4 linked regions of the Oreochromis niloticus genome follow. The protein of the gene in region 2 interacts with the protein of the main gene of each other region in a pairwise test. Links are inferred from orthologs where the notes say so. Each region holds a gene or a part of one and is shown on either strand. Other genes may lie near its edges. The genes, in order: zgc:100829, cep70, KAT8 regulatory NSL complex subunit 1 and gcc1.

Evidence for each region.
Region 1: the proteins of cep70 (region 2) and zgc:100829 interact in binary tests that used the Homo sapiens proteins (3 or more experiments, as listed by UniProt). The link is inferred for Oreochromis niloticus from reciprocal best matches to the Homo sapiens genes CEP70 and SH2D4A.
Region 3: the proteins of cep70 (region 2) and KAT8 regulatory NSL complex subunit 1 interact in binary tests that used the Homo sapiens proteins (3 or more experiments, as listed by UniProt). The two-hybrid records come from large-scale screens. The link is inferred for Oreochromis niloticus from reciprocal best matches to the Homo sapiens genes CEP70 and KANSL1.
Region 4: the proteins of cep70 (region 2) and gcc1 interact in binary tests that used the Homo sapiens proteins (3 or more experiments, as listed by UniProt). The two-hybrid records come from large-scale screens. The link is inferred for Oreochromis niloticus from reciprocal best matches to the Homo sapiens genes CEP70 and GCC1.

What each region holds. Positions count from the first base shown.
Region 1 is NC_031975.2:13,263,087-13,271,180, forward strand, and holds the start of zgc:100829 (SH2 domain-containing protein 4A), read right to left. Parts: upstream 3,063-8,094; 5' UTR 2,428-3,062; intron 1,740-2,427; 5' UTR 1,388-1,739; coding exon 1,201-1,387; intron 1-1,200. Other genes in the region: puraa (purine-rich element binding protein Aa), read right to left, coding at 7,930-8,094. UniProt on the Homo sapiens protein: Inhibits estrogen-induced cell proliferation by competing with PLCG for binding to ESR1, blocking the effect of estrogen on PLCG and repressing estrogen-induced proliferation. May play a role in T-cell development and function.
Region 2 is NC_031986.2:2,891,962-2,898,964, reverse strand, and holds the start of cep70 (centrosomal protein of 70 kDa), read right to left. Parts: upstream 3,018-7,003; 5' UTR 2,967-3,017; coding exon 2,889-2,966; intron 2,819-2,888; coding exon 2,719-2,818; intron 2,314-2,718; coding exon 2,190-2,313; intron 1,106-2,189; coding exon 925-1,105; intron 406-924; coding exon 254-405; intron 1-253. Other genes in the region: ribosome biogenesis protein SLX9 homolog, read left to right, coding at 6,293-6,463.
Region 3 is NC_031973.2:4,610,974-4,618,966, reverse strand, and holds the start of KAT8 regulatory NSL complex subunit 1, read right to left. Parts: upstream 3,030-7,993; 5' UTR 2,959-3,029; intron 1,255-2,958; 5' UTR 1,175-1,254; intron 1-1,174. UniProt on the Homo sapiens protein: Non-catalytic component of the NSL histone acetyltransferase complex, a multiprotein complex that mediates histone H4 acetylation at 'Lys-5'- and 'Lys-8' (H4K5ac and H4K8ac) at transcription start sites and promotes transcription initiation.
Region 4 is NC_031981.2:23,184,952-23,192,227, forward strand, and holds the start of gcc1 (GRIP and coiled-coil domain-containing protein 1), read right to left. Parts: upstream 3,075-7,276; 5' UTR 2,844-3,074; intron 2,715-2,843; 5' UTR 2,629-2,714; coding exon 2,263-2,628; intron 2,137-2,262; coding exon 1,483-2,136; intron 1,337-1,482; coding exon 77-1,336; 3' UTR 1-76. Other genes in the region: ADP-ribosylation factor 4, read left to right, coding at 3,925-3,991, 4,516-4,596, 5,293-5,402, 6,275-6,346, 6,438-6,563, 7,238-7,276. UniProt on the Homo sapiens protein: Probably involved in maintaining Golgi structure.

The sequences.
Region 1 (8,094 bases), on a different chromosome or scaffold from region 2:
ACAGTGCATTGTTCTCTCGCTCTGTACTACAGTTGATAGAAAGTGCTTTGATTAACCAAGACCAGACAGAACACATCACTGTGTCAATCATCAACTGGCTTTAAGTCATGCTGTGATATCACTGTGGTTTAAGTAACTGCTGCACTCATCCAAATAAATTAACTTTGCCCCTGTTGTTTGGATTAAGGTGATAGAGCAATTTGTTATGTTCATGTTGTTACGCAACGCCCTTCTTCCAGAAGTCCTTAATACAAAAGACGTACAAGAGAAAATGCAGACACGCAAGATTTTGTCAAACCAGTTTCACGACAGGCTTGCAGCTTCCTGAGTTTCTGCTTGTTTTGTTTTTCCCATGCATACTCTCACCACCTAGGTTGAGCAAAAGAATTTACCAAGTATGGGGAAAAAGACAGTATTTGTTATCATATCTTATGTCAGCACCTGATAAACACATGTACTCTTCGTTTAACTTGTAAATTTCCCTACAGAGGCGTTATTTTGCCATCTCCTCCTGTCCTGTGGATGTTTTCTTCTGACATTTATTTGTCATCAAATACAGAATTCCAGATATGAGCAACATCTGGGACCTCACATTGCAATGTTTCAATTGGAAATAAAATGATCTAATTTAGAGTTTCTGTCTGTGTGAATGAGGCTCAGAAGACAAGGAAATTAGACCATACGGTCAAACTATTTTCACCTTGTGGAGGGTGAAGCATTTAATAAAAAGTGCAATTATAACAGATATTTAAATAAAGATCTGCAATAGTTTAGGACGAGCTGTAGAAAAACAAAACAACCCCCCCCCCAAAAAAAAACAAAACAAAACTTATTTTGATGCTCACTTCATGTTTTGACAAACAGCTGTTCAGGTAATTGGGAGCATGCAAACTCCAGCAGCTTAGGATATCTGTCACAGCCAACGTACACATGCTTCAGTGGTTCCCTTATCAAGCTTTGTAACGCTCTATCGGATAATTCTCAGCACACTACTCATATATCTCGACTCCAAGGACTCCAAAAGCGCTTGCTCAGAAGAAAACAGATGGCTTCCTGTGGAACCTTTGTGAAAACGTGACAGTCGGAGGCCTGAAAAACCTGAAGCTGCACCCTGCAGCTTCAGATTCGAGATAAACAGGAAGAGGGAAGGTTAAAAAGGGTGAGGTGGCGGCTGTGGTGGTGATGGATCAGTGTGGTTACCTTTTCTTGGCTTTGCTCTCTTGGACTCTGCGTCGCCCCCCTCTCTCTCCAGTTTCTCCTCCCGCTCTTTCCAGCGCCGCACCTGCTCTTGGCGCATTTTCAGGAACAGTGTCTTTTTCTGCTCTTCGTTAAGGGCTTCCAGCACCTCAGGGTCAATGTACATGTCCTTTAAGATCTGCTGCAGCATGTTGGCGGCCGAAGGGTTGGTGCGTTAACCTGGTACCACTTGGCAAGCAGTTGAAGCTTGCTTCTCGTAGTGTACAGTGTGTAAGGATGATTTATGGTCTCATGTCAGCAGAGGACTTTTGTAGCTTCTTCTTTGTCCCTATAGTCACTCTTGAACTCATGAATTAAGGCTCTTGCTCTTTCTACACATGCTTTTGTACAGGCTGTACTATCTCACACATACAAACTCTGTCTGTCTGTCTTTCTCTCTCTCTCTCTCTCACACACACTCACAAATCCTGCTTCCTTTCTATATTGTGCTCAGTTTCCCCATCAAGATGTCAGATTTCTTTGGAGGTCATCTTTGGCACAATCTATGAGAAAAACAAAACACACAGTAAAGATCATCTTGCATGATTTTCAAAGCTGCAGTGTCTTACATATTTTCTTAAGAAACTTCTTTTCTTATTTCCTAGAAATATCTAAGGCAGTTGTCTTGTCCTTCCCTGCATGAATACGGAAGAGCCCAAAGCCAATTTCAACACTTTACAGAAAGTCTGCTACCCAGAATGGGAGGAGATTCCAAAGGAATGGGACTGCTTCTGACATCAGTGTCCCACCCTGCTCCTTCCTCTCCCCAAAACCATGTTCGTTTCTCTCTAAAACTCTCACAAGATAGCGGCCCCCCGCCTCTTTTTTTTTTTTTTTTTTTTTTTAAAACATGGCCAGTGTCTGGTTGTAATGAGGGATAAAAATCTGGGTCATAGCACTGGACAGCGAGAGCCAGGTTGTCTAACAAGAGGATTGAAATGGACTCCTCCAGTCACAGTGGGTAGTTAAACAATGGCTACCACATAGGCAGCACTTGGAGGGAAAGAAAGCTCGTCTCAGACTGAAAACTATCACACTGGTGGAATACAGATTGGTGTCTGCTAAACACACCGCAGGGTGCAGAGAAGGAAACCAAAGAAAACAGGGGGGAGGGGGTGAAGTGGAGAAAATGAGTGCTACAAAACAAAAAGGGAGTTGCAAGAGAAGGTTAGAATTTGCTGAAGTACTCACAGTGGGATGTAGACAGCCGCTCCACAGCAGAGTATGCTAACTGAGCTGAGGGAGTCACAGCGCCTGTGGGTCCTCCTCGTCTTTGTGTGTATGACTGAGCTGATGACATCACAGCATTCCATAATCTCTTTACCTCCCTCTCCCTTCCTCTCTCTCTCTGACAGCCTCTCTCTCTCTCTCTCTCTCACACACACACACACACTAAGGCTACATTTAAGGCCACATTTCAACTTCCTGAGTTGCTCTCAGGAAGTTGAACTCTCACTTTAAATATGCTAGAAAGAAAGGCATGCGTTCATGTTCATAACACACGTATTTTACATATCTTCAAAACATTTTCGCTTACACATATAATTCTACACAAACAATATTAAAAAAATGCAACAAAGAAAAAATAGCTCCCTTCCTCCTGTATTTTCTTCCCTTTTAACGACGCCTTTTAATTAAGAAATGCTATTTGCTAACGTTTGCGTTTAGCATTACCCAAAACTTTAGCACAGCTTCTAGCATTATGTGAAACAACCGATGTGCCTTCTAGGATTTATGCAAGTAACTGTTTGCTGTTCAATTTACCATGTCTGTTGATAGTTTGCACATTCAAGCCAGAGGAAATTTTCTCAGCTAAGCCTGTCCTCCTCTGCTTATGAGCCACTCATTTTTAGGTAAAGAGCGGCCTCTAGTGGTTAAAGCAATTACTGTGATTTTAAAAAAAGAAAAGGAGCCTGCCATGGATTACGTCACCACCCAAGCCAGTGCTCAACTACCTCAGACTACAGCACTAAATGAAAGCTGGATAAAAACTGGTGCTTGTGCACACTGACCGCATGGCTCCATAAATTTCAACTGCAAAACAGCGTAAATATACAATGCATGCAGACACCTGCACCTGAAAGGTAACGACAGGCAGGATGCTTTTGTAGCAAGCCATTTGTTATAGTCAGCGGTGACAAAGTGCTCATGTGATAATGGTCATGTTTCAAAATTAATAAAATGTAAGTTCTCTCATAGATTCAAAGTGTGGCACCTTGGATCAGACTAAACACCATCAGAACACTTTACAATGTGTTTTATGTTTAATAAGGGAATTTTTGTTTGATTAAATGGGGTTTATCCTTGTTTGGATGCTTTAGTCATGCTGTGACGACAGAGACCAGTTCTCTGTGTAGATTCTGGGATGAGGAGCAAAGTCGGAGTGTAAGCTGGCATCTGGGCTGGAGTCCATCTCGGTATAGCACATCCACTTCAGTTCTTTCACCCTCCATCCCATCCGGCAGGCTGGGACTATCAACTAACAACAAAGCACAAACATACATATGTCCTGGAGAAATACCATTTGGGCATGTCTAGAGAATGGACCTCGCAGCTCGTTATGCTGTATTTACTCTTATGTGGGTTCTGCTGATAGGAGACTGGTTGAAGCAATACAAATGTACTCCATGTGGATGGCCCAGAAATAAATCTGCCTCTATGCTCCATGATTTAGGACCTAGAAGCAACCCAAAGGGTGCTGCTGATATCACTTGGCCAATTTTCAGAATTTACATAATGATAATTAACATTTTCTATGTCATTTCATTTTATTAACAGAATTAAACCAAGACTTCAACTTGTTACAGGGAATCAGTTTTACTTATAAATAGCTATAAACTCAAGAATACTGAGACGCATCCTAAAAACATTTGGAAGCAACTTTAAGCTTTTCTTTAACTTTGATTTTTAGCTTAAATCCGACACCAAACGTATTAAAAAAGAAAAAAAAATAAGAAAGAAAAACAATCATTACAAAAATTTAACTTAAAACATGTGCAGGTTCTGTTGGGTCACGATCAATAAAGTCTTATTTTTTTGGTTTTTAGATTAACAGAAAAACTCACAGAAGAGCAACTGTTGCATACAGATGATCACAAATTGCATAGTCGGGATAGTCAGAGAACAAAGTAACGCTTTATTTTACAGCCTGGTTTTACACATACAGTACTATTGTAGAAATCTCTAAGAAGACATGAGTCATCAGGTACTCGCCATTGCAAAATTTGCATTTTATAGGCTGTAAAATTAAGCTTTAGCAATTAGTATCATTGCAAATGTATAATCAGACATTGTAGACAACACTACATAAAAATTAAACAGACTTTTCAGTGATTTCCCCCACCCCCATCCCACAACAAGAAATGAAACATGAAAAACACATACATTTTGAATGTAGATTTTTTCCCCCTCATGGGTAAATTAAATTTATTCTTTTTTTATAATTTGTCAAATGTACATAAATTATATTGAATGCATCAAAAACCAAATGAGCAAATCAAATAACCTCATTTTTTAAATAAAAAGAGGTAACAGAAAAGAGAACAACATTCTTTGTTGAGATCATTTTTAAACAAGTATTGGTCAGGCATTTCATTAACCTGGGAAAGCAAAGTGCTACACACAACAACCACTGAAGACAGTTCACCATACACCTTAATGAGGATTGGACTGAAGCACCTTTTCTTAGCTTAAAGCTAAAATGGAGATTCCAGGGATTTTTTTTTCTTCTTTTTAAATTTTCCTTTTCACAAAAAAAAAAGAAAGAAAAAAACAAAACAAAGAAACAAACAAACAAAAAAACTCCATTGTATGTTTACAGTCTACCTTGAACAAACCATTAACCAAGTTTACCCTTTTCCTTGAGAGGGGCATACTTGCAGGGACAATGTTCGATTTCAAGTTAAAGTACGTACGTGAACTGCTTGACTCAACAGGCTGCTAAGACCTTGGTTTACTATATTTTCCTCCAGGATGGAGCTTTGTGTGCAAATAAAGGCGTACAATTCCTTCATGAGAAATAAACATGGAATTCAGCCATATGCTTTCAAATAGTAATCATATATTTAATTGATATACATATATTGCCACCATTGGCACATATGATATTGCACACAGTGATGAAATGTTGCACAGAAAGAAAAAAAAGATATTTTTGTGGGCAAAAACATTCCAAAATTACAAATAATGTGGAATAATGCTGAAAAGGTAAAACTACATAAAAACAAACAAAAAAAAAAAAACAAACAAAGAAAAAAAAAAAAAAACACAAAACAAAACAAGACATGCTTGCTACTCCCCATTAATTGAGCAACTTACAACTTACACATAACTAACCCAAGCCATAAAACGAGCATTTTAAGGGGTGGGGTGGGGCTTTCCCGTAACAATTGATACCATTTCAGGCCACTACTGATGTTCCCAATCAGCCCCTGCTCTCCCTGCTAATGCACATGGCTGGTGAAGAGCCATCTCTTCTGCATCATCTTGCATCTAGGTGACCACCCCCTTCCATGTTTACATGTAGGCCGATACCTGGATGGCTAGGGAATGGGGATGGCAATAAAGTCGAGGGGAGGGAAGCTGAAAGGTAGCAGAAAAAAGTTAAGAATTCTGCTCCTATTTTTCTAAAGAGTTTGTAACAAACCCTTTTAGCACCACGAGTCGTGCGCTAGCACACAAGGGGGCTGAGACACAAGAAATAGAAGAAAGAGGAGATTTGAAAAAAGAAGTAGAAGAAGAAGAAGAAGAAGAAGAAAACAAAAAGAAGCCATAACTGCGATCCAAAGCACCAGGCCAGCGTGTAAGCATGCGGAGTGTGTAAGGCACCAGGTTGTTTATATGCTGAAGAGGATGCTCCCAATCAGGTATCATTTAGGCTATACCAAAGGCTCCAAAAATAGGTGGTCAAGGACAGTCTAGTTTGCTGGTTTCCAGTCAATCTAAACATGGGAGCAATCATTTAATTCAATGCTGAGGTAAATCTGACATTATCTGATTGTTGCCAGTTTCTCTGGAGTTTACTGACAGAGTTTATAAAACTGCTATCACACATCTATGAGATGCGACTGAACTGGATTAGAACCAGTTGTTTTCCGTGTGGCAGCCCAAATATTTACAATTAGACCAGAACAGAATCTCATCACCCCAGGTGGGTATTTGGGCTTACAAATCTAAAGCAGAGCTATGAGAATGTATCCAAAGTAGCCCCACACTGAACTTCACACCCTAAGATCTTAAAACGCAAGAAAGGAATGTGCACATCCAATGACATAACAGACATTCACCAACAGGTGAACCAGGCTGTCTTCACCTCGGCTAAGCCAGGCAAGCGCCTCAGTGGCCCTCCTCATAGTGTGATGGTGACATTTCGATTACTGTTCACAAGGTCGCTGCTTTTACAATCATGCTTTGAAACAACTTCCACTAGAACTACACCGAGCCTTTTGGATGGTAATCCCCCCCCAGTCCTCGAACTTGAGATTCATACAACATAGGCAGATAAAGATACGTATGGAAGGGTCTTTGAGCCAATATTTTGGGAGACCAACGAAATCGTAGTGCAGATAAACATGCAGCAACAGCACTCCTTGGCACCATTTAGACTTTTATGACTAAACAAGATCACAAAAAGTTTGTTTCATATGTACTAACCGATTGCGCTCTTCTGGTTTTTACCATGCCAATCAACACAGTATATTCAGGGTCTTTTGCCTTGTTAAATAATCTGCAGTTCAGGCCATTTGCTACATGTTGTCTCTGCATTTCCTCTATCAAATACACATTTAGTACCTTTAAACTGAACACATTGCATTAACAACGAGACACAAAGGTAGTCTATTATATATCCATCTGCATGGCAACAATTTCAACTGAAACAAAAGTTACAATATTAATATATCTTTGAATGCCTCTGGCAAATGTCAAGATCCAATGACCAGTTCCTTATATGCAATGCATATTGCACAATAAATAGAGCACTTATTTCATTTCATGAAAATGCCTACACGTTCCTTTGTTTTGTTTTTTTTAATATATATATATATATATGTACTGCATGAAATCTTATCAGTTTCCGAAGCAGGCCTAGCCCTCATATGATTTATGTGTAAACACCTCTCTACTCACAGGTAAAGGTAAATAGGATGGCAAGTACATGTGACAACCTTTTACAAAGTTTTGGAATTTTGGTTTAAAAATTAAAACATCTGATTTGTGCTGAAGTCATTTAACTCACATGAGAAGGAAACTTTTTTTTGTCTCTCCTTTGAACTCGGCAATCATTCAATTTGAACATTGCAAACACTTTTTTTTCCTCTCCTCTTTACAATAGCTTTGACTGGTACAAAAGTTTTCTGTTAATAAGGGAAATAAACAGTTCAATATCGTTTGTCAAGTAGGAAACAATGTTCAAATATAATGTTATTACTTTGTTTAGCAGCCTGTTACTGTATTAATGGTGGTTAAGTGGGGTAACATCCAGCGATGAGTGACAACATGTCATAACTGTCAGGTCGTGGAGGTTTCTTATATTGTGGGTGATGCTCCCTTGGTTAAACCAATACAGTTAAATCTTTAGATTTCTTTCATTATACAGTAGAGTGTTTTCTTTTAATTATAATTCTCTTGTTATTTTCATTACTCTGGCATGTTTTTTTCCTCGCTCTTTTTTTCTTTTTTTGTTTGCTGTCTATATCAATCCTCGTCTCCATCGTCCTGCTGCATCTCCTCTTGTTGCTGCAGCTCGCATGCCCTTTTCTCCCGCTGTTTCTCCTGGATCTTCTTCATCTCCTCGGCATATTTACAGAAAGTATTCCCAAATTTGGACCACACTTTGTAGGGCACTGTAATTGAGTTGCG
Region 2 (7,003 bases):
CACGTCTGGGGCACGGGCCTGACTTTTGAGCACGGGCCCTGCTACAACATGCCATGCTTGACTGATGTAGATAGGCTCACTTTCTATTGGTATTCTACAAAAACCATGTTGTAGCAGTATTTGATATGAGCCCTCCTCTACAGATCTGCACAACCGTATGGCTGACTGCTCCCTACCCTAGACAGTCTAGAACAGACTTTACACACTGTCCAATGATTTTGTGTGTGGGGTTTTCAAATAAAGTAGTTCTTACTGTTGATCTGCAGGAGACCTCTGCTGGGAGGTTTGACGCTGCAAAGCCAATCGCTGCTCTTCTTTTTTGGTGATGAAATGGAGTTTCCTCTGAAGCTGGGTTGCCTCCTCTTTCTGTTTCAACAGCTTTTGCTCTAGAACCTCACACCGTCTCTGAAAGTATGCAGAAGGTTTTTCTTTTACCAGTACACAGAAAATGCAAACCATTGAAACATGAAACATTAATGTTTAAATGTGTGCTCTATAAGAAAACATACAGTTGATGAAAATAAACACCTAAATTCATCTTAAAGAGATCAGGGTAGCCTGTTAAATGTTAGGGAAACAGCTCAAGGTTCAATGTTAACGTTGGGGACTCGGGAATATCTTTGTTCATTACAGATAATATGTTCACATCATGTAAACTTCAGCAGACACCTGGAGACGTCTGCTTATATGAATTATAGTGTTTGTTCAGTGTTTTACATGCACAGAGCTGTTCAGCATGATTATGACTAAGTCTTCCAAAGGAAATTTAATGAACTTGGTGCTGAGTTGGAGCTTGAAAGAAAAAGAATACAAAGAAGTAACTGTGGCTTTGAGTGCTTGTTCCGTTTGTTTTGACTCTTTGTAAATGCCCTTTTGTTAATGTGAAATTTAAAGGAGTGTGAAATAAAAAACTGAATGACTCACATGTGCTTCCAGTTTTTCCTTCTGCAGTTGCTGTGTGTGGCTGTGCTGCTGGACTGCCTTGCTAAGGTAGCGGTCCTCCAGATCCTGGACTCTGGTCTTCACCTTCTCCAACAGTTCCTCCAGCTCTGTGACCCTCTGAGACTGCTGAGCTGCTCGGCTCATGTGCTCCTGAACCTCCATTCTAACAACACACAAAGCAAAGCATCTCTGCACCTGCTGACTGCAGTTTGTGTAGTCCTGAAGGTCCTGAAAGGCTCACCGAATACTTTATTGCAACATAACTTCAATCTTCTACGTAAAATTCTTAAAACAGAATCAACAAGTTAAAATCTCAAAGGGTGAGGAAAGAAGAGCATGTGTACCAAGAGGAATGTGCCAGACTCTTACTCTGGATGGCATTACCATGTCATCTAATAACACTGTGAGGAACCTTGGAGTCATTTTTGACCAGGATATGTCCTTCATATTAAACAAATATGTAGGACTGCTTTCTTCTATAGACCTCGCTGCACTGAATCATATCTGTTATTAATCTCTGTCTCTCTTCCACAGCATGTCTTTATCCTGTTTTCTTCTCTCACCCCAACCAATCACAGCAGATGGCCCCGCCCCTCCCTGAGCCTGGTTCTGCAGGAGGTTTCTTCCTGTTAAAAGGGAGTTTTTCCTTCCCGCTGTCGCCAAGCACTTGCTCATAGGGGGTCATATGATTGTTGGGTTTCTCTGTTTTAATTTGGGGTCTTTACCTGACAATATAAAGCGTCTTGAGGAAACTGTTATCATTTGGCCCTATAAACATAAAACTGAATTGAATAGAGCTGAACTGTTGGAGAAAAGCCAAGCACCAACAGAAACTGCCTGACACTTGGTGAGCATACATACTCCATCTCAGCAGTGTGCCACCCAGTCTCACATTTCATGCCTGTACTGGTCTGTGAGGATCAAGACATGTGTGTTCCTGATACTCATCTGATGTTGGAGAGGTTAAATGACAGCAGGACAGGTGGTCTACACAACACTGCATATACATTATTAATATCCAGCATGTGTCACTGAAACAGACCCCAGCTCTCCTACCCACGTTACAGGACAGTCTGAGGTTCAGTCCGGTAAGATGACATTTGTGTGTGACTGCAATAATGTCCGGGGGGGGGGCTATTTACAGTTTCCATGTTTAAACAGATAGTTGCAAACATGTTGCACTGAAAACATCACTAAATAACATCACATTATCACTTAGAATTTTTCTTACACAGTGCCGAACTTACTTGAGCTGGTTGTTGGACATAACAAGCTCTTGGATCAGGGCCTGCCTTCTCTCGGAGTCTGTGAGCATCATCCTCAGAGTTGTCCTCAGCTCAGCAGCTGACTTCTTGTCCAGAAGGACCAAATCTACAAACACACAGACAGCCGTATACATTACTTATCAAATCACACTGACTAGCCTCTTAAAGCCAAACATTTTTGCTTAAAAATCAAGGTAGAATTTATAGAGAAGTAAACAACAAAAAGACCATTTAAATCATTCTTTTCATTTAAAGTTGCATGTAAATTAAATCTGTTGACATTTAACACAGTAACTTAATTTACTGAACAGCATTGATCAGCTACACTTTATATTGTTGAGCCACTTTATACATCCTGTCTTTAGTCAGCTGAGTAAGCCGTTTTAAATTCTGTTTTTTGTTTCCATTTGTAGTTATTACAGTTTTCAGCCTCATACGATTGTTCACTTTCGACCACCGTAACACGTGACCTTTGATAAAGTCTATCTTATACTCGTACTTTTATTCTTACCTGCAGGACTCTTATTCTCGGCGGGATCTGCAAAAAACACCGGTTTAAAACCATGATGTTGTAAACGTTTGTTCACGTCATCCCACTCCACTTGTTCCTGCTGCAACACACACAAACCATCACTGACAGCGGAGTTCAACACTTTCCAGTTAACAGAAATACAGCTCTACCTGAAACTGCTTGTAGCTCCACAGATAAACATATGTTTGATTTCTTGACTGTAAAGCATAAGTAGTCCTGACGTCCATATCCACGCGTAAAAACGTCCCACTCAACGTAAACCCAGCTTTCACTAACAATGCAGCTCGTGTATCTGAGAGTGGTCGCTGAAGCTAAGCAGTGTATGAAAGGCGACCCAACAACCCTGCAGCCTCGGATCACCTTAATCATGCTGTTTTAATACGTAGCTTACCTGTTTCATCGGTTCAGTCTACAGAAAGAAATCAACAAGTGTCCAAAGGGCTTCAGTGAACAGCTCTTCTTTTGGCGTCTCAACACAACTTGGTAATCTTCGTTTAATGTATTCTTTAATCAGCCAAACCACATTCATTCACCTTAGACTTCCTAAAGTGGTTAAATTAAGTCCTTACTGTAAGTACTTCCTGTAAAAAGTCGATAAATAAACGTCCAGTTAAAAATATAATCCTAATCAAGCAAACAGGCACAGGCAGTGTTAGCAGCACTAGTAGCTAACAAGTTAGCGTTGGCCCTGAACGTTAGCTTAGCAAATATTAATGTAGTGAACAAAGAAGGCTGGTACCGATAATTTTAGTACAAGTTACCAGCTGTTGATGTACACTTTGCTCATTTTCAGTCATCTCATACAGAAAATATGCTCCTTCCGTCATTCAAATAAGTGCGCGATGTAGTGATGTGTCGGTCGCGAACGAAACGGCTCTTAGAGCCGACTCTTTGAAGTGAACGACGCGAGCCGGCTCCTTATTGGGAGCCGTGTTTTTTTCTTTTCTTTCTCTCACCCTCTCTCTCGCACTTTTTTCCGCTTCTCTCCGCACGCGAGCCTTGTGCTTGCGCTGAGCAGAGGGGGGAGGGGCGGTAGTTACACTCGCAGTTGCACAGGAACAGAGCGGGAGGGAGAGACAGAGAAAGAGAGCCAGGGACAACAACGTCACATTAGAAAGGTATAGTAATCATCCACAACTATTTTCAGTGGCAGATGATGAAGGATTCAGAAAGTTTATTCATGCAGCCCCATATGACAGAGAATGTGCATCTTCTTTTTGTTTTCATATTTTAATTTATATTTAATTGTGTTGTGGTTTGCAGTGTTTTGTTTTGTTTCACTTTAAATTTGTTTAAAAGGAAAAAGCTGAAAATGTAAATTGTTAAAAGTTGAAATGTAAATAGTTGGTTTTTGTATTTTATAATTAATTTTTGACATTTTATGTGGAGTGAATAAATAAAAGAGACAAAGAGACAAAACACGTACAAACTCCGAAGCACGTACAAACTCCGAAGCACATACAAAACACAACAGAAGTGCTCCAGGACGCTAGGGGCAGTGTTGAGCTTTTGTTACCTAGTGGCTACACAAGCCAAGAAGTACCAACGACCGGATTTGGTGTGTGGTAGTAACAGGTAAATGAACATTTTTTTTAATTATTTGAATTTTTATGAGTGCTTGTGCATAAATACACAAACAATACACATATGCTTTCAATTGTGTAATTTAAGTGATCTAGGTAGCTCTGTTTAGGAAGGTTAGTTAACGTAGCAATGTGTTTTGGAGTTTGTACGTGCTTTGTCTCTAGGGGCCACCGTATATATTTATATGTAAACATATAAATAAATCCAAGTTTTTTTTTTTTACATTAGTAATTTCTTTTGTGCATAATTTTACATTGTTTTTGATAATAAATTAATTAAAGCAACAAAACAACCTGAAGAGCCGGTTGGGAGCCGAAAGAGCTGGTTCTCTAAAAAGAGCCGGAATTCCCATCACTAATTACTGCTCTGTGACAAAGCAAAGAGCAGAGATGACAGTATTGATTCAAGTTCATTTGTTTTCATTACACGAGTGCACACTTTCATTCTTAGCCTCTCTAACACAGTTGAATCTTTGCATTGAATCTTCAGTATATTACAATAAGTAGCATTTAACCATATGCACCTAAAGTACCTATACTTAGTCAAATGTGTGGTAAAACAACAGATAATGAAGTTAAGATATTAATAAAACATATGTAATAAAAGCCAAAGCTGAAACTGAATGAGTTTATTTATTTTCTTTGTATGCTCTGTAAGGTCTGTGTCTGTAAAGGCCCTGAATGCTGTGATGTAAATAGTAAATGATAGGGAAATAATTCTCACAGAGTTCATAAAGTTGGTTTATTAAATCCCTGCTGATACTTTGCTGATGTTTACATTTTCTATTCATTTCTTTGTGCGTAGGTTTGTTTGATCAACTTGGACTTCTCTGGAGATGAGGACACACCCACATCTGTTCCTACCATAGTCATAGAGAATTTTACGACTTTGGCAGCACATCAGTCACCCACACAGGAAAACCTGCAACCTGGACTTCATGTGGGAGAGACTGTGTCAGTGATGTTTGACTCTGTCCTCTACTTTAGTCCCTAATCTCTTTCTCCTTTAACCCACAGTTCAAACCATTCCAAAATTGTCATGCACAATTACTAAATAGGACGTCTGTAACGTATACACATTTGTACTTTTACTTGTTTCGTGAGTTATATTTAAGAAGACTAAAATTATTCGCATAAATAAATGTTTTGTCATACTGAATTTAAATGTGCAGATGATGTGAATATGAATTGGTTGGCTACCTCTGTGGCTTACTTCCAACTATCGTATAAATAGAAAATAAAATATAAAAATACGTATCAGAATAAAAATATAAAAATAATAGTTAACATTGCAACTCGAGGAGAGTGTACAAAATATTTATTTCATCAAATCAAATTATTCAACAAATTTAAGGAAGTAATTATTTTCCTATTTTCTAAAAGGTAAAGAAAAAAAGAAATAAAATAACTTGGTACTAAACCTTTTGGAAATTATACCAATACACACATATATATACATATGTATATATATATATATATATGTATACATATATATATATATATAATATATATATATATATACACATACATCTTAAAGTTTTGGAGAACATAACTTTTGGAAATTAGTATGACTAGGAACTTTCACTCCTCCTCGTTTTACACCGAGGCACTAAGCTGGTACACCAGCCGTCTCAGAACTACTATAACTACTTCCGGTAGTTATTACCAAAATAAAATATGTTTAACCTCCTTATTCGCTCTCTAAGTCAGTTAAAGTGTTAACACCGTCGATGGCAGCTGCGATAACAGGGGGGAAGTTAAGTACGCGGCGTGTTTTCTGTTAGTGAAATACCAAAACCTTGCTTGAGGCAACATGTTCAAAGGAGAGAAAATATTTTTGAAGGCGAAACAGAACTATTTCCGGTATTAGCATAGACGACTTGACCTACATTGCACGCTCTTGAATGGAAGTATCAACACGAGGGAGTTCGTGTAAGAAGTGGACTTAAAGTTGGTTCGGCGGTATTAAAATGGTTGGGAAGATAAAATATGTTCGGCAGAAGCTTCACCACGAGGCCGTAAAGGTCGATGGGCCGATCGGCTTCGCGCAGCACGGCTCACTGGTGTCTTCTACCGTACAGAAGGATCCTGGTGAACTACTCACAGCAAATTTAAGACTGGGGAGCAAGCCTCACAGACAGGTGTGTGTTTAAAACCATGGAGATAACGAACAGTCAAAATCTGTCACTGCCACTTTGTTGGAACGGACGTGACAAGATCAACCTTTACCTGACTGAAACTCTTCAAATAAGCCATTCCTCTGCAGATGATCTGTTAGCTGTTTGACAACTACTCTTTCAAGGATGTTTGATATGAAAGGAAGGTTGGAGATTGGCCTATAATTAGCTAAGACAGCTGGGTCTAGAGATGCTTTTTAAGTAAAGGTTTAACTACAGCCACCTTGAAGGCCTGTGGTACATAGCCGATTATTAGAGATAGGTTGATCATATTTAAGATTGAAGCATTAATTAATGGCAGGACTTCTTTGAGCAGTTTTGTAGGAATGGGGTCTAAAAGACACGTTGATGGTTTGGAGGAATTAATTATTGAATTACTGAGTAACTAAGTACCAGCTGGAGAAAATCCCAGCGACCATTACACATAGAGACAGACAGTCATTCACACCTATGGGCAGTTTAGAATCACACATTAGGCTCCATTCTAGCACAAATGTGGTGGAT
Region 3 (7,993 bases), on a different chromosome or scaffold from region 2:
ACTGACAGCCATTTTCCCACACTAAAAGAGAAATTCAACGTAGTTCTCTACTGAGAAGTGTTTTCGTCTAGAAACGGCTCCAATCGATGTCTGGGAAACTGAGCTGAGATGTTTACAAAGTTACATTATATCTTCTCTTGTCTCACTGCCATTTAAACCCATTAATAAATGAAAATGGAAAAATATGTGATTTTAGATTGTTTCAGTAACTCTGATCTCCTGATGCTTGTTAAGTAATAAGATGAATGCACCTCACTTATTCTAACAGGTCTTGCTGGTCTCTGAGCATGATCAGACTACCAGAAAGGACATGCATTGCAAACACTTCATTATCTGTGTGTCTGTGTAAATCAGAGGGAGGAAGAGAGCGATTGTTCAGAAAATTAAGGAGGAAATAATGGAGTGTTGCAGAGAGAATACATTTTTAACAAATATAACTGAATTTTAATGGTTATAGTGATAAATTTAGATGGAAAATCTGTAATTTTAGATTGGCTTTAATCTCTGATCATTTCTGAATTTTTTTTTCTTTTATAATAAAGAATATCATTTTCAAAAAATGTTTGTTGTTTTTATAAGAATATTACACTTTTTACAAGCCTAACTTTTTCAGTCAACCGGTCCTGTCACTAGTTTCATTTCTGAGAATTTCTGCATTTTTTTCTTGGAAATGTGATTGCCATTTCCTATTTATTTACCACTTTTAAAAGTGTGATTTTCACCTCCTAATATTACTTCTTCCTTTTGTTGTTGCTTTGTCTTAACCTAAAATGACCTCCGCAGGTCTTCATGGGACGTGAACTAAAAACATCACTAAAACAAAACAAACTGGCCGATCTGTGACTGTCATAACTGGCAAATACCCATCCATCCATTTGGTCCTGCTCCACGTTACAGCTGATGCAAAGATGTCTCAACTTCCTTGTGCTCCTCCTAGGCGATCCCTGCAAACTTCAAGGGATTCCCACACTTCCAGGGATATGTAATCCATCCCACTTGACCAAAATACATCCACAGGGACATGTCCACAGAGTATCCTAATCAGATGCTCTTCACTCGGGTCCTCAAAATCCAGGCTACTTATATCCCTGATGTGATCTTATCTCCAAAGCCATAGGGTGGCTGCAGCACCCCCTGGCTTTAAAATAAAGATAAATGCATATAACAATTATACCTTTAACTCCATTGTCGATGAACTCCATTCAATAATCCAAGGGATCATTTTTCCGGTTTCCACACATGAAAACATGACACCTAAAATGAAACAAAACAAACAAACAAACAAAAAATAAGATCACTTGAATCGTATTTAAAAATTTCAGACAATACATTTAACTATGACGGCGTAGTAGGAAAAGATACAGGGTTAGGTGATGTACGAGCCTCTAACTCTTGTGGAATTTTTTGTTTGTACATGTTGCAAGTTATAGCTGCTCCCTTATTCACAAGGCCCTTGTTGGGCCATGTTGTTGATTTGGCAGATTTTACTTTTTATTTTACTTCAGTTCTTATGCTAAATGCCAATCCTGATGCTATAGAGAAAGAAAATTGGAACTGGCAAAAAAAATTCCATAAATCAATCGATATCAGCACATTACACTAACTAAAAAAAGTTGTAAATTAACGAGAAAAAAAATGGGGCAAAATTTTGAGGAAAAAAATGGCAAACTTACAGGGGAAAAAACTGTGGAACTTTGGAAAATTGCCCAGTAAAAAATGGACAGAACAACCCTTAAAATTTGGGGCAATTTAACACAAAGAACAGCTAATTTACACAACAAACGTGTGGCTAATTTCTGAGGGGAAAAAAATGCAAATTAAAGAAGGAAAAAAGGGATATTCACAAAAAAAACCTGTAGAAAGTTTAATAGAAAAGCAACGGAGAATTAGGATTAATTTGCAAATCTGGGACAATTAAAAAAAAATGTAACAAACAAACAAAACGGAAAAATGAAAACAATGCCAGAATTATATGAAAAACAAGGCGCAGTGTAAGTAAAAAAACAAATAGATATAAAATTGGCACTGTATGAGAGCGAAGCAGGACGTATGTATGTATACATGACGTTTTTCAGTGCTGTACACTGTTGAGGGTCCGTGCACTCCTCCCATCGCCTGCTGCACGTAGACCTGCGCTGCAGCGTAGTGAATATGAGTTTGTAGCTTGTTGTCTGCCTTAACAACATACTTGGAAGGAGGTGTTATTGGTCTTTTATTACAAGGAGTTCAAATTTCTGATTTTTTTTTCAAGCTTAATGTTCAAAAGTGAAGCAAAGTCGCTCATTGACTAAAAATAAACACTATTTCTCCTATTTTTCTCGTTAATGCGCGACTTACATCTCGGAATTTGAGCGTTTTTTTCTGAATTATACCCTCTTCGCCCACCCCCCTATTTTTTTTCTAGGACTCGGTCTTAAGTAGCGTCTCCCCAGCTGTTTATTTTTATTTATTATTTATTTATTTATCTGAATGTCCTGCTGCCACGCTAACGCTAGCTAAAGCTAACATCCACTAACGTTATCGTTGCAAATTTTTATAATGAAAAAGTTTTAAATGTCGCCTAATGTCAGCACAGCGGTGTAGAAATTTAAACGTAAGTTTACAAAAAAGCGGCTCCATCACTGAACGCTGTGTGAAGGAATGCGCCACTGGAGATTTATGCCATAATCAAACAGTAGTTTCTCCAGTTGCGGAGCTAACAGGCTAATGTTTGGAACTCCCAGGCTGCCAGATAGCAGCCAGCTGAGCTAGCAAGAGATGCTAACGCTCGCTAGCTTGTTTGCTTCCCGATCCCACTCTGACTTCTCAATGACTGCTGCACGTTTAGCAGAAAAGTGCGCTTAAAAACTCCGCCAGCTCAAGCCAAACAACCGGGGGCTTAACGGAATGTGTGTTTTTTTCCTGCCAAGCGGAGCGTTCATTTATTTTAAGAAAATAACAAGACAAAATCTTACTTACCTGCTTGTCCTGTTACTAACCGTTTACGACTCCATAATACCAGCCCCCCCTGCGCTGCTATTGGTCGAGAGTCCAGTTCGAGGCTTTCTATTGGCTCCTGCAGATGTCAGTCTTTGCAAATGCCCGTACAGCGGAAATGTGGACGAAAGTTCATAGCATGAAACTTCATTATCCCAAAATATATTGTTTTTATTTGAAAATGTTTCACAACTTACCCGTCATTTATGGAGCACACCTTTTACTGCGCCATTACACGACTGTTCTCACTCAAATTAACTACACTGTCTCCCATTTTGATGCTTTGTTTTTGGGGACTACTGCTTAGAAATGAGCCACTGGTTTTCACTGCACAATAAAAAACCGCAAACATAAAGCTAATGGCAGCGCATGAGTTTGTTTACTATATTCTGTTGCATCGTATTTTTAAGCAGATAAGAGCTGGCGGGGTGATATTTCACCGGTGAAAGGCACAATAGCGGGTAAATCCCTCACAAGAATGGAGATTCACTTGAAGCTGCTGATGCTTACTTGCAGGCAACGGAGACAGGATGGGTGGATATATAAGTCAGTGAGGCAGCATTGTGCTGGCTGCATGAAAATCCAGCGGTTAGCATTGCAGAGGGACAAACTGTGGGGCTGTGTCAGTAAAGCTTAAATCTGACCTTTCTCAGGTACGTGCAGGGGGAGTGAAAATGACTCAGGAGCAGAGGCCTGGCTGAGGGTGAAGCCTTTTCAACATTTAGAGCAGGGGTGTCAAACTCATCTTAGCCCAGCAGCCACATGCAGCCCAGTTTGATCTCAAGCGAGCCAGACCAGTAAAACCACTGACAAGTTTCCCCTTTCTTTAAGCGTGAAGAAGCAGACTTTGAGCGCAGTCACCTGGGCAAGATTTTAAAAAGCTGAAACCATAAGAGTTAAGCAGGTCCCCATACCCCACTCTATTAAAAACAACCACAAAAGGCAATTTTTAAAAGAATAAATGCAAAAATAAAAATATATCCAAGTTACTCCGCATTCAGTGAGTACAGTGTAATTACATGTGCGTTACAATTTGCAAATCACCTTGGAAAAAACTTCACATCTGGAGTTTTTGTAAGTATACTGCTTCAGTATTTTACAGTTTTGTGGTTCAAACAACTTGAAAAACGTACCTTTTCATGCATTTTCATTTCTGTGTAGTCAGGCGAGCATCACCACATTTTACTGAAAAACTGCAGTTGTTAATGAATTCACAGTGGGACCAGTGGGACCATTTGGCAGCTGGTTCTGGCCCCTGGGCCACATGTTTAACCACTGCACTGTATGAACTTTGTAAGCATCCTTTTCTCCTCTTTTTTTTTAATTCAAATGTCACCATTTACATTTAGAAAAATGCATCTTTTGAGGAGGTATTTGAGGCTTTTCGCATTGCCAAGGCTTTTCATTCCTCAGCTGCTGAATTGATATATGGCTATCTTCTACGCCTCTTACACTGCACTGAATTTAAATATGAATTTCTATTCAAGCCAGTAAATTAATAATCTGGCTCCGAATGTGAGGCAGACCTTAGCCAACATCAGTGCTCGACCTCACTGTTGTTGGTAAAAGAGAAATATCTGGAATATTGTGTGCTCATTGATGGTCATGTGGTCAAAACTTCAGGGACACACATGCTTCACTTATCTACACATCTATGAGATGCGTCTGTTATTCTGAAACCAAATACATCTACAGCATGAGGGTAAAAATTAACTCCCTACAGACCAAAACTGTGGGCCTGACCCAGAAAATCCTTTAATAAAAAAGTGCACCTGTCCAAATTTAAGAAGCTGGAATCCTGACCAGAGTGCAAGACCTCCTTTACCCTTCTCCCTTGAAAATTTGACATAATATTACCAGGCATTATTTTCTTGTTAATTTTTTTTTCTTGTAACAAATGAAAAGGTGCAATTTCAGCTGAGCATTCACTGAGTTTGCTGTCATCACATGGAGACATACATTAAACTTTAGAATGAATACAACACTACTTGATGTCTTTATGACTCAAAAAACGTGTCTACATCTAGAAACACTTTTGACTTCCCATAAATTTTGACACTTAAGTAGTAGTGGAAAGCCATTCAGTGGTCCAGTTTTGGCAGGCATGAAAAGGATGAAGATTGGAAAGGTGGCTGGTCCAGATGACATACTTCTGTAGGTATGGGGATGTCTAGGAGAGAGGGCAGTGGACATTTTAACCAGGATGTTTAAGGAATGAGGATGAGCGTACTGGTACTGATTTTTAAAAACAAGGGCGATGTGCAGAGCTGTAGGACCTGCAGAGGGAGGAAGTTGATGAACCATACCATGAAGATACAGGAAAGAGTTGATGAAGCTAAGTTAAGAAGAAAGGTGATGATGGAGAAGTATAGAGAAGGTCAGAAGGAGCTTCACTGGGTGAATGAGTGAGAGACAGGTGTAACAGTGCAGTTGCTGGAAGCAGAGGTAGTGATGGTGAATAAGTTTAAATACCTGAGGTCAACCATCTAAAGCACAAGGGAGGTGACGAGGAGAGTGCAGGCAGGGTGGGTTGGGTGGAGGATGGGTGTTAGGGGTGATTTGTGCCAGAAGGAGCAAGAGTGAAAGGGAATGTTTACAACATGGTAGCAAGACAAGCAGCGATGCATAGTTTGGAGACAGTGGCACTGACAAAAAGACTGGAGGCCGAGCTGATGTTAAGATTTTCTTCGAGAGTGAGCAGGATGGACAAGATTAGTAATGAGTACATCAGAGGGACAGCTCAGGTCGAGCAGTTCAAGACAACGTTAGAGAGCCAAGGCTGAGAAGGGCTGGACATGTGCAGAGGATGGAGAGTGGATATAGTGGAGAAAGGATGTTGAAGATAGAGCTGCCAGGCAGGAGGAGAAGAGGAAGACCTCAAGGGATGTTAATGGATGTTGTGAAGGAAGACATGAAGAAAGGTCACAGAGGACGATGGTAGGGATAGGGTGGGATGTAAGCAGAGGATCTGCTGTGGTGATTCCTAAAGGAAATACCTGAAAGAAGAAGAAGAAGAAGGAGAAGAAGAAGAAGAAGAAGAAGAAGAGGGCCTGTTCTGAGCCCCGTGTTGGATGTTTGACAGCCTGGATATATTACAGGGCAGTCAAATTTCTTGAAATCATCCACCAAATTTTAAACAGGACCTTACGTGGACTTCACTGCACTATGAAAACACTTTATTATTCACATGACATGCTCACATTTTCCAGCTGCATTATCATTGTTTTTATCTTTTTCACCTTTTCAGTTTTCTCAATTCTTCCTTTTCTTTGTCTTTTCTGCAACCTTTCCACCTTCATTTCAGCTCATCCTTCCACCCAGCTTCACATACGCACTTTTAGATTATGTACAGTGGCACAAGAAGTTCATGTTTTACTTATTATTATTTATCACATCCTTTATTTGTGCAGTAGATTTTTCAAAAGATATGCCGACAAGAGGGCAGCTGAGATTATAACAACTATAAACTTAAACAATCAGATAAATACAGTGTTAACATCATTTCAACAGGGTTAAAACAGATAAACAAATAAAGAAACTTCAGTAAAACTTTATCATCAGATCAATAAATAAACTCGTATGTGTGAGTGCTGTACTGATTTTAAATCAGTCTAAGGTTTACATATAGACGTACAGGAATGACCGTTTAGTGGCTGCATACAGAGAACAGTGGTGGTCTACCAGACTGCTTTAGCCAGTAATAAAACAAACAAGTGCATAAAGTCCAGTTTGATTTAAATGGGTCACATAAATAAGCCTGTTTAATAAAAATATGTTCCTCCAAATAATGTATTAGTAAGTGGGCTGGTTCTTGTAGAGCAATTTTCTATTCTACTCAAGTTCTCAAAGTGATTTATACAACTGACCTCATTCGCCCATTAACACAAGCTTTTCTCATTAACATTCACACCCAGGGGTTCACTTGTATCAGTATTACATCCAAGGATACTTTGGTACAGGGATACAGGAATCAAACCATGAGCTCTACGGCCTGAGCCACAGCCACCCACCAAAAAAAAAAAAAAAATCATTTTCATAAAGTGCAAGTTACAGTAATTCAGTAAAGGAAGAACAGCTGAAGAAATCAAGTGTTTCTTCACTTGGTGATAGAAACAGGAAACCTAATAGGAGGCTGTCACAAAATGTTTTTGTTTTGACATTTAAATGGTTTGGGTGTCTGTCTATCTGCATTAACACCAACTTAAGTAGTGTTAACTGAGAATTAACACCATTAGTCTTCAGGATACCGTTATCATAATGCTCTGGGCTGAGGAGCATATTTCAGTTAATCCTCTGGAAAGTTCATTTTCTTTACCTCATTTTACCATCGGTGGTTCATCTGATGTGTTGGCCTCATAGGAACATGTAAATGTAGTTATAGGGAAACAACACTAGATGGCGCTGAGACATCACACACATCACCTGACTGAAGCTGGGCCCTGTAAAACTGTCACTCAGATATTCACTATGCACAAATGTGCTACTTTTAATTTGCTTTTATAATCAGCATCCAAGCATATAATGCCTGACTGCATGCATGGCGAGTCTTAAACATGTATAGGGGGATGAAATTCAGTTCTGTTACATTTTTATGTCATTAAAACTGCATCTTCATTTACTTACAGCAGTTTGCAGTTATAGTTAACCACAGGAAAAATTATAAGTGCGTTCAGCTACAAAACAGCTTGATATAATCCTTTACTTAAATGTGTTTCTAAGTATTTATTGAGCTAAAAAATATTAAATTCCCACATTTTTCCTTTAAACGCCTCTTTAGGTAGATTTAACTCTGTATAATCACTTTTCTCAGACCGCTGAGCAAAATTGTTTAATATCTGCAGCATATTCTTCATTAAAAGGATATTTTCAACTATAATACTAATGAACTGAAAAATGCTGCACCAAAATCCATCTCACACCCAGAGGAGCAGTCAAAGACTCCTCACAGAAAGTCCAATTTCAGCAGTCGTACTCTTTTTTCTGCTGAATTTTAATTTGTAAATTGTAATTAGATTCT
Region 4 (7,276 bases), on a different chromosome or scaffold from region 2:
TTCACTGGCTCAGATGCCCAGGTGTTCTTCCTGCACCTTCCTTCTTGCTGCAGAAGTGTTTTCTTCCTCAGGTACTCTACCTGCGTCCCATCCACCAGGTGCTGCCCTGCAGCCTCATGACATCATGCTTCTCCTGCGGGCTGAAGTGCAGGATGGTGAGAATGGCAGTGAGTGTCTGCTGGCGCCCGTTGGCGTCATGCAACGTCAGAAACCGGTACACAACATTCTTCAGGTACTCCATGTTGGCGCCCTCGCGGCTCTGGTCCCGGATCAGTTTTTCGAGGCGGTCACGCAGGGCTGCCACCTCCTCATCATGATGCTCTGCGTTTGCAATGAGTCGTTCCTGCAGCTGGCGCGTGTCCTCCTCCAGTCGGTTCTTCTGCCGCCGCAGCGCGCCCACCTCCACCTCCTTACGTGCGAGCTGCTCAGCGTACAGCAGCAGTGTTGACTCATTGGGTGTGGCCTGCCGCAGCGCCTGGCTGATCGCGTCGGTCTCTGTGTCGGGGCCATTCTCTTGAGGGTTGGTGGGTGTGTTGTCAACACGGTTGGACCAGCTGAGTGTGGCGGCAGCAGCCCGCAGCCTCTCCAGCTCGCGGTCCTTCTCATCCAGCAACGCCATGGTGCGCTCACGCTGCTTGTGAAGCTCTGCCTCCAGTCGCAACAGTTCGTCACGGTGGAGTGCCTCCAGACGCTCCGCCTCCTGCCGGTGTGCCTGCTGCAGCGACACTGCCTGCTGCTGGCGCTCATCAAGCTGCTGGCGGTGGTGGGCCTCGGCCTCGTCACTCTGCACACGCAGGTTTATGTACTTCTCACGCAGCTCGGCGAGCTGGTCGCGGACTTCCTCCAGTTCCCGCGCCTGGCAGCCATCTTTGGTGTTCTTGTTCTTCAGAACCACCTGCGCACGCACCTTGTAGCGCTCAAACTCATCCCTCAGCTGCCGCAGCTCCTGCTGATAAGCGAGGGCTGCCGCCGCCGCATCTGAACCCGGCTCCACCTCCAAGTCCTGGATGTTCTGGTCGGGGTTCCTCTGAGCCGCAAGGAGCAGCAGCTTCTTCACCTTCTGCAGCTTCTCCCGCAGCGCCCCCACGTCCAGTTGCTCATCTGGCCCGAGGTCAGAGGTCGCCCGGCTGGAGGCAGCGATGGCGAGTGTTTTGTTCTCCGTGTCGAGCTGCAGCACGCGATCACGGAGCCTCTGTGCTGCCTGCTGGTCACGCTGCCTTGCCTTCTCACACGAGCCCAGCAGCTCTGACAGCTCCGATACACGCTGCTCCAGGACCGCCACCCGGGCCTCAGCCAACTGAGCACGCTCATGAGCACGCTCTTCTGCATCGCAAACCTGCAACACGAACACAGAGATGACCTCACTTCCTGTTCTAGTTTACCTGGTCTGTTAGAGCTTCAGCTGTTTAATGTGGTTAAACCAGATTCCCTAGGACCTGTTTTATTGGGACTTTGTTTAGTGGGACCTGGTTCTGGGCTCACCTTGCGGGTCTCAAGCTGGACCTGCTCCTGGACCTGGTTCTTCAGCTTGTTCAATTCTTGCTGCAGCTCGTCCACTCTGGGGTCGGGTATTCGTTGCTCCTCCTCGGCGGCCTGCAGCCTCCGCCTCAGCTCGTCTCTCTCTTCCTTGACTTGGTTCAGGAGAGCCTCGGACTCCGCCCCCCGGTCCACGGCCTGTGAAGTCACAAGCAGGGCGGTGCTGGCATCCTGGAGGTGGAGCTCGGCGTCCTGGCGGAGGTCTCGCTCGGCCTGGAGGAGCCTCTGTAGCTCGCGGAGCTGCTGAGCGTGGTCCCCCTGCTCCTGCTCGCGCTCGTGCTGCTGCGTAATGATGCGAGCGCGACTTTCAGCGAGCTGCTGCTGCAGGTTGTGCAGTTCTGCCTCGTGCTGTGTTGTCATGGAGACCAGACGTTCCTGCAGCTCTTCAACTTCCTGTTTCAGCTGCCGCTTGTCTGCCTGGAAGCTCGCCTCCATTCGCGACTTCTCCTGCGTCACCGTGGCCAGCGAGCTTGTGAGCGTGCTCAGTTGGCTCTTCAACTGGGCGACTCTACGGTCTGCCTCCATGCCGGGAGGGGGCGTAGCCTGCTGCTGTTCTGTCCCCACGCTGCCACTCTCAGAGCTGCCATCGGGTTCAGATCCCTGCAGAACAAACATGGAGTCAGAGAATAAGACATGACATTATCAGAGCGTTATGGTGATGATGATGATGTCATCAAGTTCTGACTGTGTTCTGGTGATTTAAGTTCAGTTGTCAAAGTAACGTACCACCAGCCTTCCTCCCAGTTCTGCCTGGTCCTCCTCACTCTGGTCGCCTCTTGTAGTCTCGCTGGCCATGTCCAGAGACGCCGCCATATCCACGCTGTCCTCGCTGTGCAGCGAGCAGCCATCCTCGGTGAGCTCCGGTGTGGCGGTGGCCGAACCCTTCTGGGTCAGGTCCAGGTCCTGGGTCACGCTTAGGACCTTAAGGCTGGCCTCCAGCGCCTCTTTCTCCTTCAGGAGGCTCTTGTAGGCCCGGACCACATCCCTAAAGCGGGTCTGGTACTGGATCAGCTGCTTCTTCTGGGACTCCACCGTGTCCAGCAGCTCCTTCCTGCTCGGACCGCCACCAAAGCTCATCCCGAACTTCTCCATGACCTCGTCCAGGTCTGACCAGGTCTGTCCAGGTGAGCCTCTGATCACAGACACCAGAACATGAACAGAACCTTAGCATTGACTTCCTGTTAGAGGGGAAACAGAGAACAGCTGTTCAGATCACTCATCGATCAATTATCGATGGATGGTTTCTGTGAAGCTGAAACTTTGTGCTGGAACACAAAAGAAGAAGGAGGAGTAAAACAGTTTCTCACCTCTTTCTCTTTCTCAGTGTTTGTTTCTCCCTTTGACTGATTTTTCCGCCGCTTTGATCGTCTCTCCTCACACTGCGCCGACAAACCGGTTCGATGTGGATCACAAACTCGCAACCTGTCCGTCACAGGTGGTCAATAATCGACCCAATCGATGAGTGAAATCCGACTCAAAGCTTCATCTGTCAACAGGCGCCATGTTGGACCGAACCGGAAGTGACTGAGACGGAGGAGGCGGGAGTTTACTACTTTGTTCACGGACGTCAGGAAAATGCACAATAGGATGATTTTTTTTTTTTTTAGCTGATTTAAATTAAAAACTCACTGATTTAAATTAAATAAACAGCCAAACACAGCCAATAAAGCATATGTATATATATATATATATTATTATTAATATGTTTAACATTTCTGAAAGCAATACAGTATTTTGAATTGATTGTTTATTGGGAGAAAAACATTTTTTTCTTATTTTGTACAAATTTTAGAAATAAACTATTAGATTAAAAAATAATTTTATTAGAAATTAATTTTAACTTTGTTGGTTGATGATTGATTGAAAATATTTTCATGATTCCGTTCATTAAATTCTGTTCTTCCGTTCTTCAATAGAAAACGCTTTATTATTCTACACACATATATGTTTTTAGCACTGTCACAGAAGCAGTACGTGTGTATTTCACTTTGTTATGTTCTGTTGTATAATGACGTGAACATAGTGACATATATACATATAAATTAAACGTATTAATATAAATGGCTGTCCCGGAGCCGAGAGTGTTCCTCGCAGCCCATGAACTTCACTTCATGCGCAGAGCTCGAATGTACGGTGTTTGAGCGGACAGTGAACGCCGCGGTGTTTGCTATGCTGTTAATAAAGTTGTTGTTTTTTTTAAAGCGCAGCAGTGACGTCATTTGTTCCGCGTTGGCCTGGACGTGGCACCGAGAGGAGCTGCGCCCTCAGTTCGCTCTGCTCCGCTCCGCTCCGCTCCGCGCCTTCTCGGCTCCATTCCGCTGCTGCTCCCGGACCTCCGGCTCTACCCGCCGTCAGTGTGTGACCTGCCACCGCCTCCTCTCCGCAGCCATGGGCCTCACAATCTCGTCGCTGTTCTCCAGACTGTTCGGGAAGAAACAGATGAGGATCCTGATGGGTAAGCGGGGGCTAGGCTAACGAGCTAACGGGCTAACCGGCCGGGCTCCGGGGCGGCTGCAAGCGGCTCCGCGGGCTCACCAGCACCACACACCGTCTCATTTTACCAGGAACCCGCTCACCGAGTCCTGCGGACCGCGGGCCCGATCTTCCCGTGCAGGGAGAGGCAAAAGTCCGGCTCGGAGAAGCAAGAGGCTGTTAGCTCGGAGCTAACGGAAGGAAGCAGGCTGATAACAGTCCGTTAAACCGAGTTAAATTGGGGTCTAAACGGGGGTTAAACTGGGTTAAGATGTTTTAATCTGGGGTTAAACCTAAAACTGTACCGGTGTCATCTTATTAAGTCCATAAAAACCATTAAACCCGGTTTGATCTGAGCTTTAAACCAGCAGCTGGACTCTGATCTAGGTTTAAGTAATCTCAGATTAGTCTTTATTCACTGTATGAGGTTTAAGTAATCTCGGGTTAAACTTGAACCACTGTGAGACATTTAATTAATCTGGGATTAATCTTTGATGTGTGTTTCAGTCGGTTTGGACGCTGCTGGAAAAACTACGATCCTGTACAAACTGAAGCTCGGAGAGATCGTCACCACCATCCCCACCATCGGTACGTCATCAGGACTCAGGGACCAAATGAGGTCATGTGATCAATAATCAGCCGACTGTGTAGTCAGGTGGTTTGAACGTGGTATTGATCAGATCTGATCGGTTTGAGTGAGGATTCCCCAGGCGTGCTGGCACTTGCACTATTTTCTTTAAACTTCTCCTGCGTCTGCGTCTACAGGTCAAGTGACCTTTTAGAATAAGAGTCACCTGTTAGTTTGAATAAATAAGGTACCAAAACAAGAAACATAAATGATGAAAGTGCAGACACACACTTACAATGGTGAAAACAAACGTTTAAAGCAGGTAAATACAAGCTAAACTTATACACACCACCAGCGTTTACACAGCTATAGATATGGAACCATTAAAACTACAATCATGGAGAAATGAAACATCAACGTTTATAGTCAAGTCATCCTCAGTCTTATAGTTTCAGTTTACACAGGTGTCTCCTCTGTGCAGGTATTTCAGTGCTACTGCTTCACTCTAACTTTATATACTGTTACAGTCACTGTTGTACTGTGATATTTATTGTTGGTTCCCAGCGGGCTGATGGGATGTGTAGTTTCCTGTCAGTGATTCTGTTTCCTGTGACTTGGAATGTTTGAAGGTCATTAAAAGCTGTTTTTTTTTTTTTTTTTTAAATTTGACAAAGAGTCACCTGTTCACAACTCTGTGTGTGTGGTTGTGTGTTCAGGCTTTAACGTGGAGACAGTCGAGTACAAGAACATCTGCTTCACAGTTTGGGATGTTGGCGGTCAGGACAAGATCCGACCTCTGTGGAGACACTACTTCCAGAACACACAGGTACAGAAGCAGAACTCTCAGGTGCAGGCAGGTGTGGGACTTTTCTCTCTCTGAGGAACGAGATGTTCAGGTTGATCTGGTTCAGTTATGTTTACCTGGGCATTCATGAGAAGTTTTCTTCTGTGACCCCTCACTGATCTGATCTGTCCTGAGATATTCATCTATAGTAAAATCCTCATTTATATCCTCTATCTGATCATATCTTTATATCCATAAAGCTCTTCTTTAGCAATAAGTAACATAGAATAGAGTAGAATAGAATAGCATAATTTATCAGAACAGTTAGTGCATATTTGAATGAAGTTTCAGTGGATTTGCTGTCCATTGAAATAATTCTATATAAAACAATCTAAAAGTATAAAATACATAGAAGAATGTCAAACGTGTGTACAAATAGAAGTGACATTTATGTGTATATGCATGCTAGTAAAAGAAATGTTTTATTGAACAGTAATAAAGCAGCAAAACAACCCAGTGTACAACATCATCCTCATTCCAGATGTTCCGGCTTAAATATATAATCAGTAAAAAGTCTGGGAACTGCTTCAGAAACGTTTTGAAGCATAAATATTTTTTTTTAATCGAACTTTCAGTAAGAAAAGCAACTGAACTTAAATAAACAATTTCTTCAGTGCTGTGAGAACGTCAGGTTTGTGTTTCCACAGCTTTACAGAGGTGCTGCAGGAAAATCAACAAAGTCAAACATGAGTCCTAACACGGCTGCATTCCCCCTCAGAAACACCTGAGGAGCTTATTTTAGATCCCTGACTCTGCAGCACAACACACACAGCACAGACTTTCACTGTGGGCAGGATCCATTAATCACTGTATTGATGTATTAATTGTATCGATGACTGATGTATTGATCACAGGGTCTGATCTTCGTGGTGGACAGTAATGACAGGGAGCGAGTCGCCGAGTCGGCGGAGGAGCTCTCTAAGATGGTCGGTCCCTTTGATCACTTTACAGTTACGCATCATTAGACTCATGATCGTCATGGTAACCACTGACTGTATGTCACATGACTCTGTGCAGGTCCAGGAGGACGAGCTGAAGGACGCGGTACTTCTAGTGTTCGCCAACAAACAGGATCTCCCGAACGCCATGGGTGTCAGCGAGCTCACCGACAAGCTGGGTCTGCACAGCCTGCGCAGCAGAACCGTAAGGATCAATAACCCATCCGCACTGATCAGTACTACAGACTGAGTTCTGTTTCTCATGTTTCCCTCCATGGTTTATTGACTGATGATCTAAGTTCTCAGCTGTTTTTCTTGCTCAGTTCTGTAATTGTGAAATCAATAATCAGTCAATCAGTATACAAAACAGGAGACAGTGGGGTGACCTCAAATGAGCCCACAGCATTGGTCTGGGGGTGGAGCTCTGAGCACATCAGCCAACCCAATATCGCGACAAAGCTTCATGTTGAAGCTGCAGTAATCTGCACTACCAGCAGGAGGAAATGATATATTTAAAGCCAAGATGTGGGTAGTGAGCAAAATAATTCCATTAATCATCAGAATCGATTAAGTTGGGTGGCTGATATGGATGTACATGTAAAAGTGTTAATAATGTCTTTGTAATCGCGAGTATTTTCATGTTGGCTTGAAATAAAATATCTCCCTCTGCTGGTAATCTGTGATGTCAGTGCCAGTGGGTGGAACCCTTGGGTTTTAATTTTATAGTTGCATCCTAATTGGTTGTTAGAAAATCCACTCAGGGGTCTTGATGTCACTGTCCACAAACTTATGGAGCTAAATCTGTTTAGACAGTTAAACTCACTTGTGTGTGCTCCCTGTACCTGCCCACTCACCTGTGATGATCTGTGTGTGTTTCAGTGGCACGTGCAGGCCACCTGTGCGACGCAGGGCACAGGT